Linked DNA regions of Mytilus edulis. The protein of the gene in region 1 interacts with the protein of each later gene in a pairwise test. Links are inferred from orthologs where the notes say so. Each region holds a gene or a part of one and is shown in the gene's direction. Other genes may lie near its edges. The genes, in order: regulator of MON1-CCZ1 complex-like and abl interactor 1-like.

Region 1 (7,945 bases):
CCATATTGTATATTATTGATTATTAAGCTCGAGGAATGAAAAAATACATTTCATAATGAAATGGTATTAGGCATTGCTTCAAACAAATTCCTAGCAGAGACCTTTACTGAGTAATTCAAGGGAAGAAAAGGATGAGAGAAGCAAAACTTAATTTTTTTTATTTATGTATAAAAACTTGACAAATGACAAAGGAAAAAAAATCAGAGATGAAAAGACAAACTGTTCAGATAAAGATTATAAGTTTGGCTGTGTATACTTGAGATTTGTTTCTAGCTTATTATGTTCAGAACTTCAGATCTACACTACATTATTCTATTAAAAAAATTAAGGTAAAAGGTGGAATACGTATTCATGTTTGTTTGGTAACAATCAATGAAGTTGTACTTAATACATGTATGGCAAATTGAGAATATGTTGGTTTAAATAATCGTTTTGGATAATTGAAAACAGACTTAAGTTCTGAGTTTTCAAATGTATGTTTCGCATAACCATATACATTATACAGTTTTTATGTGTGAATGAGAAGTATTTAAAATGGAAAAAAGTGGTTTGCAATATTTTTTTATCTTTCAACATGTTTAAATCAGAATAAAAGGTTATTTCTGTTTTTGTACGCCCGTCTTTTAGACGGGACGTATTATGGTATACCGTTGTCCGTCCGTCGTCCACACTTCAGACAATAACTCAAAAACACTTTCACCAATTTTCATGAAACTTAAGTGAATTGTTTATATCTATTGACGTAAGCTCCCTTTCGTTTTTTTTTAATTTCAGATTTTAAGTTTTGGATTTATGGGGCTTTATTCATAAAAAAGGGGGGATTTTCAACACTTCGGACAATAACTCAAAAAGGCTTTCACCAATGTCTATGAAACTTTGGTGAATTGTTTATATCTATTGATGTAAGCTCCCTTTCAATTTTTATAAATTTCAGATTTTAAGTTTTGGATTTATGGGGCTTTATTCATAAAAAAAAAGGGGGGGGCTTATTATGTTCAGAACTTCAGATCTACACTACATTATTCTATTAAAAAAATTAAGGTAAAAGGTGGAATACGTATTCATGTTTGTTTGGTAACAATCAATGAAGTTGTACTTAATACATGTATGGCAAATTGAGAATATGTTGGTTTAAATAATCGTTTTGGATAATTGAAAACAGACTTAAGTTCTGAGTTTTCAAATGTATGTTTCGCATAACCATATACATTATACAGTTTTTATGTGTGAATGAGAAGTATTTAAAATGGAAAAAAGTGGTTTGCAATATTTTTTTATCTTTCAACATGTTTAAATCAGAATAAAAGGTTATTTCTGTTTTTGTACGCCCGTCTTTTAGACGGGACGTATTATGGTATACCGTTGTCCGTCCGTCGTCCACACTTCAGACAATAACTCAAAAACACTTTCACCAATTTTCATGAAACTTAAGTGAATTGTTTATATCTATTGACGTAAGCTCCCTTTCGTTTTTTTTTAATTTCAGATTTTAAGTTTTGGATTTATGGGGCTTTATTCATAAAAAGGGGGGATTTTCAACACTTCGGACAATAACTCAAAAAGGCTTTCACCAATGTCTATGAAACTTTGGTGAATTGTTTATATCTATTGATGTAAGCTCCCTTTCAATTTTTATAAATTTCAGATTTTAAGTTTTGGATTTATGGGGCTTTATTCATAAAAAAAAAAGGGGGGGGGGCTTATTATGTTCAGAACTTCAGATCTACACTACATTATTCTATTAAAAAAATTAAGGTAAAAGGTGGAATACGTATTCATGTTTGTTTGGTAACAATCAATGAAGTTGTACTTAATACATGTATGGCAAATTGAGAATATGTTGGTTTAAATAATCGTTTTGGATAATTGAAAACAGACTTAAGTTCTGAGTTTTCAAATGTATGTTTCGCATAACCATATACATTATACAGTTTTTATGTGTGAATGAGAAGTATTTAAAATGGAAAAAAGTGGTTTGCAATATTTTTTTATCTTTCAACATGTTTAAATCAGAATAAAAGGTTATTTCTGTTTTTGTACGCCCGTCTTTTAGACGGGACGTATTATGGTATACCGTTGTCCGTCCGTCGTCCACACTTCAGACAATAACTCAAAAACACTTTCACCAATTTTCATGAAACTTAAGTGAATTGTTTATATCTATTGACGTAAGCTCCCTTTCGTTTTTTTTTAATTTCAGATTTTAAGTTTTGGATTTATGGGGCTTTATTCATAAAAAAGGGGGGATTTTCAACACTTCGGACAATAACTCAAAAAGGCTTTCACCAATGTCTATGAAACTTTGGTGAATTGTTTATATCTATTGATGTAAGCTCCCTTTCAATTTTTATAAATTTCAGATTTTAAGTTTTGGATTTATGGGGCTTTATTCATAAAAAAAAGGGGAATTTTTTAACACTTCAGACAATAACTCAAAAAGGCTTTCACCAATGTCCATGAAACTTTGGTGAATTGTTTATATCTATTGATGTAACAAATAATACTTAATAAAATCTGATGAAAACATAAAATTTGTAAAATCTTTAGTTCAATTTAAAACATTAAATTTCTTGTAAAAAATAGATTCCATGAATGTCATACGTTTGTACTATTATTGAATGGTTGCAAGGATGAAAGCACATTAGCAGTCCCTGAGATACTAACTGTTCCCTGAGGCATATATCATTTTATGATAACATTTTTACTATCTAAGCTATGGATAAAAATCAAATACTGTTTTTGCATATAGGATGTTTTACTCTTGTTAAAATTGGTTGCAATTGAAATCACAAATGATACCTTAGCATTGCAGCTTTTTTATAGAGTTCGGTTTCGGTGGAAGGGTTGAGCGCAATAAAAAATGTTATAAAACATAACTAGTCTACAATAGCACATAATAAGTGAACAAGTGACAACATGAAAATCCTAACATGTGACTTAATATTCCTTAAATGTTAAAGGGTGTCATTTTATGAAAAAAATAAGGAAATCAAGTCTCCTAAACATTTATCAATATGATCATCTTGTGAATATTCTAAACAATAAAAGGTAATAATCATTATCCACCATATTAAGCACCATTTGAACAACTTTTGCATACATCTTTGTATAATTTAGTATGGATTCCTTACTGTGTTCAACAGAATCTAACTATGAGCAATATACCCAAAGAAAATTACCTTCTTTCAAACTACTATAAAATTAGTAAATCAGCCATAGAATTACTAAAACCCATAATCATATATCACTTTCCTTATATTGCATTGAAGACTTCTATGTTATATGCCAATGTTAATGATATTTGTTTTTTATGCTAAATATTGAAAAGCTGAACTAGGTTTAATCATCAGTGTCTTCTTCACTGTAATCACTGTCCTCATCATCAGAAAATCCTCATTTTCATTCTCAGAAGAGGCCTCCTCATCATCAATGAAATCTTTATCTTCATCATCAATGAAATCCTTACTTTCATCACCTACTTCCTCATTTAGATCATAACTTTCAGTAGAGTCACTTTCACCATCTTCACTTTTCCTGTTATCTTCTTGCTGCTCCTCATTGTCATTGTAGTCTTTTTTGCCATTTTTATACGCCCGTCGTCTTTCAAACAACGGGCGTAATCATGCGCTAAAGCGCAGCCCTTTATTGCTGTTATCAGCCATAAAGATAAATAGTCCATTTATCAAAATGCAAACTACCTAAATGTTAAAAAATCTAAATTTTACTCATGATTAGGAAGAAGCTTTAGTAAAAAATTCCTTAGGATGCAACATACTTTCTTAAACAATAGACAAGTAGCTGTACAATATGACATGCTCTTAATCATCAAGAGTTAATTATAGTTGCGAATATATTTAGGGAAACCAAAGTGATTGCCCCCTTCCACCTAACTTTTTGTCAAGTTTTGTCTAGCCTGCAATGAAAACTGCTGATATGTAGGTGTTGCCTTTTTCAGCGTTTTTAGCGGCAGCCTCAATTATTGTTAAGATTTTTTGGGTTAATCGGTTTTAAATGAGCTTTTTGTAGATCAATGCTATTTTCTATATATTGTATTACTATCAGATATATTGTCATGGTCCAGTGACTTTGAAATGATAAGCAATGTTGTATGTGCTGTTAATCAGATTGTCTTTTTTATGACCCATTTATGGGCATTATGTTTTCTGGTCTTTGCATCCATTTGTTCGTTTGTTCGTCTGTCCTGCTTCAGGTTAAACATTTTGGTCGAGGTAGTTTTTGATGAAGTTGAAATCCAATCAACTTGAAACTTAGTAAACATGTTCTTTCTAATTTTAATGCCAAATTAGAGATTTCATCCCATTTTCACGGTTGACTGAACATAGAAAATGATAGTGCAGATGGGGCATCCGTGTACTTGGGACACATTCTTGTTTTAAATTGTATTTCAACATATCTCTGTGTCAATAGGTTTTTTTTCTATTGCAAATAAGAAACATAAAATGATAGGGGACACTTTTTTTGGCAGGGTGCCTTTCTAGAGTTATGTCACTTTATGACTTTTTTATTCCACTCTAACTTAAGTTAGCATTCTGAAATTATTATGATCTGAGATTACTATAACGTTATAGTAGTCTTAGTTATGATACTCCACTCACACATAAAAGCTAAGAACCATAACAGATCATAACAGGCAGATAGAGTAAGAATTAGGAAGTTATTTATATGATAGAATATATTCATTTGTATTGTGTCCTATACCATGTTATTTTATTATTATCTATTTAATTGTCAGGATATGCATTTACAAAATCCTTCTTCTCTCCCCTGCCCGCCCAAATCTTATTATTCTCATCTTAATTAACCTTACTTTAAATTGTTCAAAGAAAACACAAATAAAATGTGTATGATAAACAGTACTATTTAAATAAAGGATAGAGATGTCTGTTCGAACGCACCTGTAATAGACTTTCGGAATCTCTCTTGACTTTTGGTGAAGACAGTGAAAACAGAAGAGATGCAAAAATGGCACAACAAAACGATGGGTGTTTTTACATCGAACTTTGTAAAAACCCTATTCGATTCGACCCAGTTGATAAAGTCACAAACGTATTCTATGACGACGCTAATAGACAGGTGAATGTACAACCACAGGCACTAGACGTTCTGTCAATAGCATGAAAATATTGGCAATGGGAAGAAAATAGTGTCCATATATATATATTATATATATGGACACTATTTTCTTCCCATTGCCAATATTTTCATGCTATTGACAGAACGTCTAGTGCCTGTGGTACAACTAGAATGTTGTCTTTGAAGGCCACACACTCTGATTTGTCATAGCTTAGAAAATGACTTTGTAACTTCATTTGAATCCCTTCATTTCAACACTTGTCTGCAAGGCTTCAGAGACATATTTTTGTGTACACATTTGTATATGTGTCTGGTACCTTGATTCAGTGTTGTTTCAACCAATGACAGTCTTGTCTACCCTTTGTCATTGAAATCATGTTTTTATTTCAAACTTTCCATTTAGTCGCACCGAAGTCATGGCAAAATATTCAGTTTGTTGATCATGGCCAAACCGCCATTATCCTGTCAGGTTGGGATTTGCTTATTTTACGTAAACATGGTAATGTGTTAATAGTTTAAATGATAGAAGAATTCTAAATTTGTGCTCTTTTGCGTATATTTCCTGTTAGAAAGTTCATTTATGTTATAAGGTCTCGATAAGAATCCATTGTTCAATGATGTCATATATCATATACACAGATTGACCCAGGTCCTAAAAAACTTGATATTGGTGTATATAAATTGCTATTTTGGAATCTGTGACACTATTGTGATGTCAGAATTTTACAGTAACCTTTGTGATGTCCAGTAATTGCGGACAAATTGTGTTTAGGTATATTTTGACGTCTGAAGGCTATTTTTTTTTTGCTGTGATGCCACATGAACATCATGAAGGCGATTGTAAGCTTACTTTTCTGGAGGACTACATTGATACCTCAACCTTTCACTTTACAGAACCTACCATATTAATTGATGATTTGTTCTCATTCTGATCATTCGTGAAATATTTGCTACTGGACTAAAGCAAACAACAATCAATCTATCAATCCTTTTATTTATACTTGTACTAAGTATGGATATAAGAAGATGTTGTACATGTATGAGTGCAAAAGGGACTGTATTGTGGAAAAAAATATTACTTTAGTTATGTTGTCTTTGCCATCAACCATTGTCAACAGATGATATTAGTAAATATTATGAATGTTTTACAAGGACAACAGAAGCCAGAAAGAATACCCTTTATTTATATGTCAAATAACTTAATACAATGTACATGAAATGGATAACAGAAATCCCTGACATTCAACATTGTGTATTCAATCTTTTTTTCTAACTACAGAACAAACTCCTTCACCTAACTCAAATTCCTCAGAATAAATAGATTTCAAAGACAAAACAACAACAATAACACATGGTTCAGATAGCCTTACTTTGTACAGGCTCTAATGTGGTGGGGTGAAACAGTGTTGCATACACACAAACCACCCCTTTATCTATGTAGATTCTTGACCATATGTTGTAAAACTAAAACACATATCGTAATAAAAACTGCTCACATCAAAAACCAACAGGATGACCTCTTGCTAAGAATTAAAAAAAGCCATAACATAATTTGGAAAGATGAGTCAGGTTGAATGTCTATTTGTATACTAGTACATGTAATAGATAACTCTGTCTGAATTTGTTTATATGTGACCACTTACAAGGAAATAAAAAGCCTGGACATAACTTGAAAAGCTGGAACAAATATTAATTGAATACCTATTTGTAGGATTACACATGGTCTTCTTCAAAGAGATAACCTTTAATTTTTTACATGCAAAATAATGATTGATCAGAGGCAAAAGAACATAGAATTTATATTACACTATGAATTAAAACATTTTGTTTATATCTCACAAAAAAAAAGGGAAAGGGGGTTAATTGATTTTTTTCCATTGAGTGATTTATGTATGTTGTAGGTATTTGCAGTACGTTCCTGTGGAGCTATGGGGGTGGTGGTTAAAGGACCAAACGATAGCAACTCTCTTACTTTCAGGTTGTACATTTGTACCGTACATTATATTTGAAAGAAATTTGAAATTATGATTTAATTTGCTAATTTTATATACATGTATTGTTATTCAAATTATTGTCTGATAAGATCATCACTTGTCTGAATTTGCTATCCAATACATACATGAAGCAAAACTTTATCCTGCAATATACCAGAAGATAAGTGCTTAACCATGTTAACTTACTGTTCTTTATTTTGAAAGTCACTAACATTTTTGTCTTGTTCTGAACATGACGAGCAATTTGAGAAATATAACTTCAAGAATGACCAACTTATCTAATCAGATAAGGACAAGGTAGGATAAGGCCTGATTTTGGCCTCCCTATTTTCTAATTTTTATATTTTTGCGGTCGTATATTGGTATCACGTCGTCGTCAGCGTCATCCAAAGACGGATGGTTTCCGGATAATAACTTTAGTATAAGTAAATAGAAATCAATAAAATTTTACCACAATGTTTGTAACCTCAAAGGGAAGGTTGGGATTGATCTTTAGGGTTATGGTCCCATCGGTTTAGGAATTAGGGGCCCAAAACATACATTTATCTAGTTTCAGGTCAATAAGTTGTGTATAAGTATTTCAATTACCCTGAAATTGTACCACAATGTTCATACCATTAATTAGAAGGTTGGGATATATTTTAAGGGTTATGGGGCAAACAGTCTAGGAATTATTGGCCAAAAACAAGCATTTTTGAAGTTTTGGGGTAATAACATGTTTAACTGTATGGATCTCTCTGACATTGTACCACAAGGTTCCATATAAAGAAGGGAAGGCTTGGTGTCAGTTTGGAGTTTATATCCCTGAATATTTAGGAATAAGGGGCCCAAAAAGAATCATTTTTGTAGTTTACAGA
Region 2 (7,424 bases), on another chromosome or scaffold:
CAGAGATATATAAAACAATATACTACATGTCTTTAGTGTGACATTTCAATTCTAAGTTAAGTTATTAGCCATTTCAAATAATTCAGTGGAATCATTCTTATCTGTATTAATAAGAAAAATCTGGTTATGACAGAAAACTTAATTATTTTGCATGTATAAAATCATACACTTTGCTGCAAAACTGTCTTAGTATTTGCTTTAAAATCGCTTTTTTTTCAAAGCACAGTTCAGAACACCATCTGACTGTAACATATTGTCATCTGCAGTATAATAATTAACTACCGCCTTGATGTTGCCTGTCTCAATACATCCAACGATTTGTATAATGATAACAAGTCCTTGATAAATACGATATCACAAACTAGTTAAAACATTTACTTAATTTTATCATCGGTACCAGTAAGGACATCAATAGTAAATATAGCTCAACATGTAGACTTCTTATACGTTCAGGTATTTCACATCCAATATTTTATGGAAATATTCTTTTATAAAGCACAAAAATGTCAGTATTCACCTCAGAAGATAACAAAACCTTTAAATAGACTTATTAAGAAGGGGTATAGTTACGATACTGTTCTCAGGTCATTAAAGATTGCATATTTTGGCGTTGATATTGATTCACTTATGCTGAGACTACTATAACAACTGTGAACTATATAAATGTTCCGGACCATATGAATATTTGGACCATACGCGTATGGTCATGACCATATGGGTATATACTCATATGGTGTGACCATACGCGTATGGTCGCGGTATATTTATGCTTACCTCTTTATATAACCCTTCTAGTTGTCACGTCACTAAAAAGACACTACTAAAGGTATTTTTTTCATTAAAAATTAGTAATAACAAGATTAACAAAATAAAATGAGCAGTTTCACACAGCAAATTTCATCACTAAACTATAGTAAACACACATTTTTTTTTCATTACCGATATGCTATTACGAGTGAATGACAAAATGTCGACACTAGTTCATTTTTTAAAGTTGTCTGGTGATATGATGTACTTCAGTCATGTTGCGATATTGAAGATCTAGTAGAGCTTTTTCACCGTAGACACATCGGAATGACCCCGGACCCAAGAAAAGCTATGGTGCCGTGTGGACGTAAATGTCACCCTACGCATCCATGCAAGAATACAATTAGTGATGAAAACTAACTTTGGCATCAATATTTAATGTTATTTGAATTGTAAATAATACAATTGCATGTAGCAATCATTGTTATTTTATAAAGTTTTCTCGTGCATATTATTGAAAAATATACCTATATTGTCCTAATACTCATATGGTCCGGCCCGTTTATAACAAAACGAGTATATACTCATATGGTCCGACCATACGCGTACGGTCGGACCATATGAGTATACGCATATGGTCATGACCATACGCGTATGGTCCAAATACTCATATGGTCCGGAATATAAACACATTTATTATTTTAAACCAGTTGTTGGCATGACACGGGTTATGTTCTTCTCATATATGTTATGAATTGATAATTCTTGTGTACAATTTGGAGTTTAGTATGGTGTTCATTATCACTGAACCAGTATATATTTGTTTAGGGGCCAGCTGAAGGACGCCTCCGGGTGCGAGAATTTCTCGTTGCATTGCAGACCTGTTGGTGACCTTCTGCTGTTGTCAGCTATATGGTCGGGCTGTTGTCTCTTTGGCACATTCCCCATTTCCATTCTCAATTTTATATTTTATTCTTTCTTAGTTACGTAACCCTTATAGGGGCATAAACTGACAATTCATGTTCATCGATTTGAGTGACTCAAATTCTTATATTTGATCACAGGCACTCGTCTCAGAATTTGTTTTCCCTACCGTATATTCCTTTATATAACACAATTAAGTACTTAACTTCCGATTTAGAAAATTGCCGGACGGTGACGAAATTCTGTTATATACCGATTTCTCGGCTGTTCCGTTTTAATGGGTTTACACTAGTAATTTTTGGGGCCCTTTATAGCTTGCTGTTCGGTGTGAGCCCAGGCTCCGTGTTGAAGACCTTACATTGACCTATAATTAATGGTTTACTTTTATAAAGTATGTCTTGGATGGAGAGTTGTCACTCAAATCTTCCTATATCTATCAAACCCATGTAATAATAATTCAATTGCAAGCGAACCATTTATCAGCGATGTTTCTTTACTTATTATAACAAAATTGAACTGTTATCAATGATTGAATAAAAAAATCGTTTATTTTTTTCATATCTTGTACAGGTATTTTTTTCCACCAATCAATATACATTGCGCCCAAAATTTGAGCTACACAATCAAAAAAAGTAAAAACACAAAAATACTGAACTCCGAGGAAAATTCAAAAAGGAAAATCAAAAATCAAAAGGCAAAATCAAAAGTCCAAACACATCAAACGAATGGATAACAACTGTCATATTCCTGACTTGGTACAGGCATTTTCTAATGTAGAAAATGGTGGATTGAACCTGGTTTTATAGCTAGCTAAACCTCTCACTTGTATGACAGTCGCATCAAATTCCATTACATTGTCAACGATGCATGACTGACAAAATAAAGCCCAGTAAATGATTATTAGAATGATTAGAGTGATTAAAGTACATTTAAACAAAAATGTCGGCACATGTATACGATGCTAGATTGAGAACTGGTCAGCCAGAATATTTCAGTTGATACAAATGTATTTACAAAGATTAGTTGGAAACTGATTGAGTCTTAATATACGGAAGTGATTATATAGTTTGAATTTATTATAGTGCAATTTTTATATGGATAAAACACATACACCATTTTGATAAAATTTGGGAAATTTTCTTTTTGGGGGATGTTATATGTATCTTTATTGTATGGTCGTAGCTATGGAAATAGATGTGGTTTTTTATGCTCTTAAGCAAATATAACTTTAGCGGCACGGGGAGGCAAGTATATTTTCCCCCATGTACGTAATACTAATTTAAACAAAGTAATATGTTGGATAATCAACATTGTCATTGACACATCGATCATTCAGTAATTTTGGAAGAAACTGTGACTTGGAGAAAAAAGTAAAATCACAAAAAAAATGAACTTCAAGGAAAATTCAAAAAGGAAAGTCCCCAATCAAATGGTAAAATCAAAAGTTCAAACACATCAAACGAATTGAAAACAACTGTCATATTCCTGACTTGGTACAGGCATTTTCTTATGTAGAAAATGGGGGATTGAACCTGGTTTTATAGCTAGCTAAACTATAAATTATAATTCTTAATATATCATACATGTCCCAGCGAACCGAAACGTGTGTATACTGTATACGCTTAATGTGTCCCCTTACCCCAGTTCCCTAGACTTATGCTTATGGTAGACAACTCCTGGTCGAGTTTTTTTTATTTTTCAAACTACAAAAAAATGATATTTTCTAGAAGTTTTTTTTTTTTTTAAATTGCATATAAAAGTTTAGCGACTCAATTGAGGTTTCAATAAGGCCTTACGTAAAGCTTAATTAAGCAGCATTCATATAATAGATTCCTCTAAATAAATAATGTATTGTTACTGCCGGTTTCTAAAAGTTATTGTGTGAGTTGCTTAGGATCAAGTTTTCTTTTTTAGCACAATATAGGAATTTAGAAAAAAAAGTCAGAAAAAACTACTAAAAGCACTGACTTGCAATATTGATGGAAAAGGCCGTATGTCAGTTTTACTAGGGGGATTAAATGAAAATTGTGAAATATTATGAGGGATCAAGAAATTTTATATGTTTGAATTCAAAATGACCAGCCCCCCTCCCAGGTTAAAAATGATAAGTCCCTTTAGAAATTGATTTAATTGTTTATACCTTTTTTTAAATTAATATATGTTTGTTTTTTATTTAAAGTTTGACTGGTTTACACATAAATTTTACTGTTTCCTATCTCAGTTTCCTGGTAAGATTTGTTCACAGAATGGGATAATATTAGAAGTCATAGGCGGATTTTTTTTTTTGGGGGGGGGGGGCAGGGGGGAAAAATTTGGTTGCTTATATAGGGAATCACTGAAGCGTTACTGGAGCGGGCCCCCTCTTAGGTCAGTCAGTGGGCCCCACTTATGAAAATTTCTGGATCCGCCACTGGAAGTTTCAATTTATTTCTTTTAAACAGATGAATCCAATATTTAATCATATTCATAAATTATTAACATAAAAAACGTGTAGGAAGTGGACCTAGAGTCTTTTGATGCAATATCTGATTTTTATTTAATTCTTACTCCAAGTACAAATTTACACAGCTTAACAATATCATCAAGACCGGAGACGAATATTTTAGGTGGCGAATCTGTCTCTTAGCGATACGCGCCGGTAATAATATATTGGCGTACGCCAAAGTACACTGAAACAAGTTAACCTCAACATAATAAACAGGAAGTAGTAAAAATGGCAGAAGTAACGCAGCTTCTTGATCAAGAAATCCCAGAAGGTCGCCAACATCTACAAGAAAGTTATATAAATCTTGACAAAGTTGCACAGTATTGTAGGGACAATTATCTAAAGGTAGTCCTTTATTTCTTCAAAAACGCCAGTTGCCTGCGAACAACACAGGCTCACAGCTTCCTATTCTCACTCAGTCACAGTCCTCATGAATAGCATAATTGTTAATTCACTCTTGAAGGGGTTCTCATTTTGGGGTCTGGTCCAGGATCCCTCTTATTGTTAAGTGAGAATCCTGTAATCTCAAATGTACTTCTTGTTGCCAAAATAGCGCATGTAATTTCTTGTGTCCCGCAGGACTTCATTTCCCGTTTTCCGCTTAATGATTCTACTTTCAATCGTCACACGATCCAATGACCAATCCCACCTCACGCTTAGACCCCAATGAGACTCACTTAAAATTGGTAAGTACTACAATGTATAAAATGGAAGAGATTGAAAATAAAAACAGAAAAACAGACATGTGCAATTTCTAAATTAACATCAGTCACCACTCCTGTCATTCATTGTTTTATATAATCCCTGAATGAAATATTTTTCACCTAATAAAATGCTAAAACCTTACACATTTGCCAAATAGACCTTTATCATGTTTATTACTATTTGAAAATCTGCTCTGCTTGACCCAAGAATCTGTGCCTCTTGAATATACACCTTATCGCTATTTGTCCGCCATTGCTGGAAATCACACAGGTTCCCGTAAAATTTTGACGTCATAAAACTAAATATCTGACGCCACAATGGAAAAGTGATTGTTGTTGACGTCAAAAGTTCAAGCGGCCGGGTCAGCCGGGATTAGCGATAAGGTGTATTGACATCATACATTTTACAACAATCAATTTACCATTGTCAAATGATTGTGGGGGTCTCATTGGGGGTTCTGATCCCGGATCCGGCTTTCTGTTGTGTCAGATTCCTGTATCCCGTTTACACTATGTATGTAAGCAATTCACATTTTTTTTGTAATTTCCCGTGTCCCGCTAGACTCCATTTCCTGTTTTCACAGCACAAGAATTTGACTTCCATGTGTCACGCTTACAAAAAATCGGCAATCCCGCGTCACGCTTAGACCCCAATGAGACCCACATTGTGGGGTCTGATATTTTCTATTATCAGTGTTCTAGCTAGAAAGTTTGAACAGGGCGCAACGCTCGCCCTTTTTTGTTGACGCCCTAGCTTTTTTCTGTGGTTTCTCTGGCGCCCTGCCGTTTTTATGGCGAAAATCTCGGCATTTCTGCCTTTAAAATACCGACAAATTCGTAATTCTTTCATAAACAGGAAGTTCACCTAGCTGTGTAAACTGTACAATTAAGTGACCCATTAAGTGCATGGCTTCACTTGTCAGCTTTGATGTCAAGTACATTGTTAATTAACAACAATTACCTTAGCTTTTATAGGTCATAAATAATTTTTTAGAACTCAAAAATGTTTGACAAAAAAAAGATTGTTACTTCCCCTTTTTTGTCACCTTTCACAATATTCTTCTTACAGTCAGGGGACTTACTTAAACAAGTGATTTTCTAAATCACTGATTCAAGTAACATTATTTCCATAAAGGTTGGAAGTTAGAGTTTTCTTTCTTTAATAATCGCCTATTTAAGTAGTACAAATTAATCACTAGAAGAAGTGATTTAATATTAGTGTAGCTTTAAATATAGAATACTAATGATCCAGGGACTAATTATGTTTCTAAACAGTAAAACTTATCAGAACCAACATCTGTGTTGTCTAGGATGACCAGGTCATTTCAGGTGATGACCTTGTACTGAATCTAGGATAATGACATAAAAATCACTTGTTTAAGTATCAGACCTGAATTTCCTTCCCAAAAATCACTTCTTTAAGTATCATTCTTTTAATAACCTCCACTAATTTCAACACCCCCGAACAGTGAAATTTTTATCGCGAACAGTAGCATTTTATTACACAATCTGAAAGATGAAACCTTGAACTTCACAGGAAAAATACCCTCACTGCTGTGAAAAATCTTTTAAGAAAGTATCAGTTCATTATGTAAAGCCATTATTATAGCATTTTTTCAACTAAAGTAGAATTTTCAGGTAAATGAAAGCATCAAAGGCATAAAACTTACTAATTAAAAGATGTTACTTAAACCTATGTGTTTAAAATTTTGAAAAAACTACAAAATCCCAATTTGTGACAAAACCTCGAATTTGCTACTCAAATAAGTGATTTAAAAATCACTTATTTGAGTAAGTCCCCTGACTGTCTTAAGTTTTATGTTCTTTTTAAAAAAAAAGATTGAATTAATAACAAATTGAATGCAAATGCATTTTAAAGTATAACTTTTAATTAAGTTTACCTAAAAAACCTGAATAATAAATATTTTTAAAATTATTTTTCACATCTTCACTTCCATTGATTGATTTATGAAGTGCATTAAAAAATAATTTGAAATAAGAGTGTTTTCCAATTGCCTTGACTGTCAACAGTTGCTCTTGGCATTGTACATTATGCCCTTTAAACAAAAGTAAATGCAACAAAATATTTGAGGTGATTGAGTGAGTAAATGTACATTGTAGATGATACCCTGATATTAAAAGTTAAACATAAAACATGGTGCCATTATTTAAAATTTATTACTCAATTTTTACTGAAAATTGATAATACCATAGTGCCTTAGTTATATACTAATTAATTATAACACATAAATAATTGCCCTTTTTAATGACATGTACTCGTTAAATTGCCCTTTTTAAATCCTGGCTAGAACACTGATTATGACATCAAAATTTTCAGTGATGTCCATGCCAGTAAGGGCTGAAAAATAGATAAAGATGTACATGATATAGGCCACTTCACAGTTAAAAATGTATTTCAGCCATATTGAATAGGGGCAGATTGTTTTGGATAGAAGTGATAGAAGTGGAAATAGTATGAAAGTATGGAAATACTATATAGATAATTATAAGAAAATGTGATATGAGTGCCAATGAGACAACTAACCTTTCAAGTCACAATTTGC

The links.
Region 2: the proteins of regulator of MON1-CCZ1 complex-like (region 1) and abl interactor 1-like interact in a two-hybrid assay, tested with the Caenorhabditis elegans proteins (2 studies listed by BioGRID). The link is inferred for Mytilus edulis from reciprocal best matches to the Caenorhabditis elegans genes Y50D4A.4 and abi-1.

What each region holds. Positions count from the first base shown.
Region 1 is NC_092344.1:110,107,494-110,115,438, forward strand, and holds the start of regulator of MON1-CCZ1 complex-like, read left to right. Parts: upstream 1-4,941; 5' UTR 4,942-4,983; coding exon 4,984-5,094; intron 5,095-6,995; coding exon 6,996-7,072; intron 7,073-7,945.
Region 2 is NC_092345.1:44,932,671-44,940,094, reverse strand, and holds the start of abl interactor 1-like, read left to right. Parts: upstream 1-4,346; 5' UTR 4,347-4,384; coding exon 4,385-4,501; intron 4,502-7,424.